Tribolium castaneum: one gene and its partner. The protein of the gene in region 1 purifies or fractionates together with the protein of each later gene. This does not show direct contact. Links are inferred from orthologs where the notes say so. Each region holds a gene or a part of one and is shown in the gene's direction. Other genes may lie near its edges.

The links. Proteins that work in one complex are often made in the same cells at the same time.
Region 2: the proteins of ND-MLRQ (region 1) and ND-30 fractionate together in Homo sapiens (co-fractionation; 3 studies listed by BioGRID and IntAct, with this or other methods). This does not show direct contact. The link is inferred for Tribolium castaneum from reciprocal best matches to the Homo sapiens genes COXFA4 and NDUFS3.

Annotation. Positions count from the first base shown.
Region 1 is NC_087398.1:10,562,821-10,565,266, reverse strand, and holds ND-MLRQ (cytochrome c oxidase subunit NDUFA4), read left to right. Parts: upstream 1-1,277; 5' UTR 1,278-1,396; coding exon 1,397-1,438; intron 1,439-1,488; coding exon 1,489-1,632; intron 1,633-1,676; coding exon 1,677-1,733; 3' UTR 1,734-1,799; downstream 1,800-2,446. UniProt on the Homo sapiens protein: Component of the cytochrome c oxidase, the last enzyme in the mitochondrial electron transport chain which drives oxidative phosphorylation.
Region 2 is NC_087394.1:27,328,410-27,332,524, forward strand, and holds the start of ND-30 (NADH dehydrogenase [ubiquinone] iron-sulfur protein 3, mitochondrial), read left to right. Parts: upstream 1-1,308; 5' UTR 1,309-1,408; coding exon 1,409-1,469; intron 1,470-1,518; coding exon 1,519-1,578; intron 1,579-1,632; coding exon 1,633-2,126; intron 2,127-3,935; coding exon 3,936-4,094; 3' UTR 4,095-4,115. Other genes in the region: Gip (putative hydroxypyruvate isomerase), read left to right, coding at 255-729, 780-1,087.

The DNA of each region.
Region 1 (2,446 bases):
GTAATTGTTGCTAATTTTTAATGATATATTACGGCACCTATAATTCTTATGAAGTAACTTTCTAAAAATAGACGGAAGCTATTGATACTAATGAGAAGAAGGTTGTTTATTTGTTATCAGGATGTAATAAAAGTCGTATTCAACAGCAAGTACAGCGCGCTTGGAAGGAAAAATCGATTATTTCCCACATTCCAAAAAGGTGAATGTCTTCCACCTCTTTTGAATAAATCAATAGACATTTTTATATCGCTTGACTGGTTCCAAATCTGGAAATTAATTAGTTTTGTTTGATGTTGTTTCATGTGCTTTAAACCGTAACAAATTGATTGTTACAAAAATAACATTTAACAATCTTCAAAGAAACAGGATTTTATTAATTTTTCGCTGATTTTCAATTGGGGCCCCTGACTGAATTAAATTAAAAACCAAACGCCGGTACTTCTCGTCAAAATAACGCACATTTTCGAATAAAATAAATTAAACTCCACGGAAAACACGTGGTTTCATTCAGAATAAGACAAAAAAGTTTATACTTACATCAGCAGAAAAGAACTCTCGGGGTGTCCTACTGCATATCATTTTTGTAGTTTCTTGTTATTTGGAGTTTTTACAGCAAAAGGGTTAGAACAACACGAATGACAATAAAACTTAACCGAAACACACAACAATCACATATTTGTAAGTAATAGCAAACATTAATATTTTATTTAAAAGCAAAATAAAACGTTTTAGGTTAGGTTAACTAAATGAGAAAACGACCTACCACACAACATTCACCTACACAACTGAATTTTAATCAATATTTTCTTCTCCCATGGCTGTTTCGAGGGTTTATGCAACCAACCTTCCGCCAATGCTGCCAACCCAAATAAATATTTAGGCCGAACGAAAGAATTTTGATTTTGCTAACTTTCAGACCACTTGAAAGCATTTTGTAACATTTTGAGCACATTTTTTCCTAAGTTGTAGCAAAATTTGCATTTGACTGTATTTAAAATTCCCTCGCTACTAGCTACAGATCGCACAACTGCTTTCATACCCAAAACTACAACACTGCTCCTGTGCCCCGGATTTACTTCCAGTTCCTTTAAATTCGCCCAGTTATTTATGCTACAAAGGCTAGCTCTGAAGCTACTTTTTAAAAAATTATTACATAACGTCCGTCTATTGCACAAAAATACTAAAGTCCAGAACTATTCTATAGTTTTGACGCGTAGTCTAGTGGCATCCTTTTCTGGCGTATTGTGACGCGATTTGCTGTTTTTCTCACTTTCGCTCTTGTGTAACCAAAATTATTCATCGATTGAGGGAAGTACTGCGTATATTTTGACACTTTTGCCATTGACAGTGAAGTGAAGAGTTTATTTGTTGCAAGTTTTCCAACAATTAGGTAACCATGCAGGGAATGTCACTTCAGAGCCTCAAAAAGCACAAAGCTGTAAGCATTTTACGCGATAAATAACCTCTTTTCCAAGTTGTTTGTCTCAGTTGATCCCTCTGTATGTGTGCGTCGGCTTGGGCTGCCTGGGGGCTATTGGGTACACTGCCCGACTTGCCCTCCGCAACCCCGACGTCCAGTGGAACCGCAGCGGTGATATCTCCAACGAGGAATTTAGAAACAAGCAATATAAGGTATTTGCAACAATTGTAAAACTGATCTAATGTGTAATTTTTAGTTCTACTCCCCCAACATTGATTACTCCAAACTGGAGTCGCCCGCGCCCAAATACTAGAGGATTGAATGGAAATAGTCGTGTTAGATCAATGTGATTTTAATTTCAAATAAATTATTGTTAATATTTTGTTGTTTTCTGATCAAAATGGCCCGACTTTGAAATCAAGGTGGCAACAATGGGCCACAGGCCACTTTGATCAAAGCTGGTACTTTATTGTGCTTTAACTGAAGATCACAGTCACAGCTTCCTTGATTAAAGAAGGGACTTTCCCTTCACACGGCTGGCCGCATTGCTTAGTTCCCTGGCCTTTTTTTGTTTCTGAGAGGGAGCCACTATAAAGTAAAACAATTCTGACAGTTCTAAGACTTCTGAGGTTAAGTGCTGTCACCACTTCTGTCAGTGCAGAAGATTTTTAAAGCAAAAAGGCATTAGTATTAGTGGTCCAAATGTAATCTGGCCACATTTCACTTCACAGAACCTCAAAAATTACCGACATGAACACCTGAATGGTTTACATGCCACATTGCTTCATGTTAGTGAATTGCACACCCGATTAACCCCAAAAACCGAAAACCACCTAGGCGATTATTTCCGAGTTTTCATCGTTTTTGACTCGAGCACAAACACGAAGAACTTGAGGTGCACCACAGGGAGCAGTTATATCTCTGTATTACCTGGTGTAAAATTTTCATTAAAAAAATAAAGAATTTAGGCGAAAAGTGAATCTAGCGCATCACTAAGGTAATTATCGCATATTGTACTCATTTGTA
Region 2 (4,115 bases), on another chromosome or scaffold:
TGTATTGCAATTACTAGTGATTATTGATGGATAATTGGGCGCAAAAATTTGTTATTGTGGTAAAATTATCGTTTGTTGTTGCGGTTTGCGTTATCTCTTTGTGTAAACGCAGCTTTATCATTTTGGGAACACTGTAGTTCCATTCTGACCCAAAACTCGACAAAAAGTACTTTTATAATTGAAAAATAATAATTCGAGGTATTTGTGTAAGTTGTTAGTTATTTCAGCAATGATTTCACTAATTTTTTTTAGTTATGATGAAGTTCTGTGCCAATTTGTCCTTCATGTTCACGGAGCAGCCCTTCTTGGAGCGCTACCGCTTGGCCAAAGAGGCCGGTTTTCGGGCCGTTGAGACCGGCTTTCCTTTTGGTTTCACGGAAAAGCAAGTCGTTGATGCAAAAAACGGCGCTAACATCCAACAAGTCCTCATTAACACGTACACCGGCGATGTAACGAAGGGCGAACTCGGTTTTGCGGCAATTCCCGGCAAAGAACAGGAATTTAAAGACAGCATTCAGAAAACCATCACTTATGCGAAAAGCCTGGGGGCTTCCAAAATCCACATCATGGCCGGGAAAGTCGCCGATGTGACTGACGCCAATCATTCGGTTTACGAAACCAATTTAAAATATGCAACCAAGTTGTTGGAGCAGGAGAATATAATTGGGTTGATTGAGCCAATTAATAAATATTCGGTCCCCAATTATTACCTCAATTGTTACGACAGAGGTTTGGGGACGCTTTTAAGCCAAGTTTAGAGTTTTAAAACGTTTTTTCAGCTTTGAGTGTGGTGAAAAAGATCAACAGTCCGAATTTGAGAATCATGTTGGATGTTTTTCATTTGCAACACATCAGGGGGAATATTACCAATAGTATCAAGGATTTAGGGGGGTATATCGGGCATGTGCAAATCGCACAAGTGCCTAATAGAAACGAGCCTGATACTCCAGGCGAATTAAACTATGTTTATGTGTTGGAAACCTTGAAGTCTTTGGGGTACAATGACTGGGTCGGGTTGGAGTACAAACCACTTGAGGACACCAACAAGGGGCTCAAATGGGTCAAGAGTCTTGGGTACAGTCTGTAATTGGTGTCAATTGGGGAAATAAAGGCTGTTTTTACTTAATAATTTAATTTACAAAATTGACATTGCGTTCAAGATAAGATGGCCGCTTGTTTTTCTAGATTTTACAGCGGTAAAGGATTATTTCTTTCAAACAAATTTGTATTATTTAACTTAACCAAAGACAATATATCGTATAATTGCGAAAGCAAGTTAAAGGCCTTATTTTTTAGTATTTTTTGAAAAAAATTTACAAGGGCAATGCTTCGCCAACATAACGGGCTGAAATGTCACTAGCGGTGTGAGGTTAGGGGTGTTATTAGGTAACAAATAAATAAAAATTTGATGGCTTCCCTTTTGAGACAATTCACAAGGACCTTGCGGTCACCCGTGGCCCGCAATGGGGGTAAAATCTACAAATTTTCTCGTAGCATTTTTTTACTTATTTTTTCCAGTCTGTGCCACCGCTATCAGATTCAAACATTCGGAAGCAGCCCCTGCAGAAGAGACACGCCGTAAGTTACAAATAGTGCAATAAAAGTCTGAATTCAATCGTTGATTTAATTTAGATACGGTCAGAAAGCCGGACCTTTTGGCCCGCTCCCAGCTGAAAGACTTTGGAAAATACTGCGCTGAATGCCTTCCAAAGTACATCCAGAAGGTGCAAATCACTGCTGGCGACGAGCTCGAGCTGTTGATAGTCCCCGAGGGGGTGCTCCCTGTGCTGCAGTTCCTCAAAGACCATCACAATGCCCAGTTTGCCAACATAACGGATATCGCAGGCATGGATGTCCCGAGTCGCGAGTACCGCTTTGAGGTGATTTACAACCTCCTGTCTTTGCGCTTCAACTCCCGGATTAGAGTCAAGACGTACACTGACGAGTTGACGCCGCTTGACTCCGCCTGCGATATCTACAAGGGGGCCAACTGGTACGAGCGCGAGATTTGGGACATGTATGGGGTGTTTTTCGCAAATCACCCCGATTTGAGGCGGATTCTCACCGATTACGGGTTCGAGGGGCATCCGTTCAGGAAGGACTTCCCCTTGAGCGGCTATGTCGAGGTGATTGGTTTATAATTTTTTAAGACTTGGTTTGTCGTTTGCTTTATATTTGCCGCTATCCGAACGAGCTGATATTTTGCATACACACGTAACTTTCGTGACATAATTATGTAACTTAAAATAAGCAAACAAGCCCCTCTCTCAGAGGAATGAGGATATTAACGTCTGAAAGTTTCAAGTTGCAATTTTCCATACGCACTTATACATATTTACCATTTGTTACTAACATTTATAAATAATCTGGGCCCTTAAATTGAAGTATGAAGTCGGAACAACTTATAAGAATCATTCTATACTCCTATGAGAGTACTTCATGGCCATGTGTTCATTAAAAAAAACTTTAGAGTACTTTGACAACTAAAAAGAACAAATTTTCATAAAAATATTTATTTATTATTTATAAAGTCTGTTGGAAATGCCTTCCTTGTTGTTCAACACACATAACACATCGCCTTTGAACACTATTTATCAACTTTAGTTTATAAATTCTGGTGAGCTGGTTTAGTAGGCAACCAACAATACAATGATAAAAATTGTTCTACGACTTTCGCATGCTGCAAGTTTTTTTTTAAATGAACGCCTGATATTTTATTTTTTCAGTAACACTTATTGTTTTTGTCGTTTTTTAACATTTTTTTAAAATTTTAATCGATTTAGGGATTTTTGTGACGGTTGGTAATTTCTTAATTTGGAAAGTAGAAAATTGAAGTAGAATTTTTATTTTATCATCCAAATTCTGCAGAAAAACACGAATATGGATGATAATGAAGGTAATCTTGCATGGACGTGCCCTGAATTACATAAAATTGCCAAAAATACGGTAGCGAATTTGTTCCTGCCAACTTAAATTTTTTTGTAAAATGTTCAAATAATACCGTTGCGTTCGTTAATAAGCCTATTAAAGCATGAGAATGGAGTCAAATTACGAAAAATCTCATAACGTTAACATTCCCCTCTTTTCTTTTTTTAAATAAATTCACCTGTATCTAGTTGCCTGCTGTGGCTATACCTGTCATTATTAAGTCATGTCGGTTTGTGGTGTTCGTAGTGTTGTGATGATTTCTGATTTAAAAAGTGATTCAAATCTTGCGAATTTGTACTAGAGGTAAGAAGTTAAGTTGATAAAATCTGTGCGGACTTATTTCGACAAAAATTGATAAAGAAACCTTGTGTATATTGTACGCCGTATGAGCAACGACGCAACTGCATTTTTGAGGTGAAATATCTCAGAAACATTGGATTTCTGTGTAAAAGAAGAATGTTTGTTACAACTAAACCGTACTGTTAGCAAAATTTTAATCAAGAGATCATCAAGGCGGCTCCAATATTTCATACAAAAATTCATGAAATGGAGGGCTGGCATCGCGTAAATTCATATTCGGAAACTGCGCTGCCTGTATTTTGTGATTTTTAAGTCAAAGCAAGATATTTGTTTAGTATTTTACAAAATGTTACTTTCGTCACTTGTTGAACAATGTAGTACCGGGAGATTCTTGTCGTCAGGTTGGCAACAAATATGAAACAATAATTTGGCAACTTTGACCAACAAATTTAAATGTCAATTTTATACTCAATTATAATGTAAATATTATCTTTTTTTTATAAAAGCAATACACCTTGTTAATAAATTTCTTTAATTAACGCCATACAACTTGATTTTGACATTGACAATTGTTTATATAAAAAAAACGAATATAACTATTGCTCACAGCTTACAGATTTTATACTTCATAACACTAACCGCTTCCAAAGCAAAAATGTTCTCTTTTGATTTACTTTTTAACAATTTTTTTGTTACATATTTTGTAGGTGAGGTACGACGATGAGAAAAAGCGCGTGGTGGTTGAACCGCTCGAGTTGGCTCAGGAGTTCAGGAAGTTTGAGCTGTCGGCCCCCTGGGAGCAGTTCCCCAACTTCAGGAATGCGCCCCCCACTGCCGAGGAGGTTCCAGTAGAGGAGAAGAAGTGATTAGGTAAATGTTAAATAATA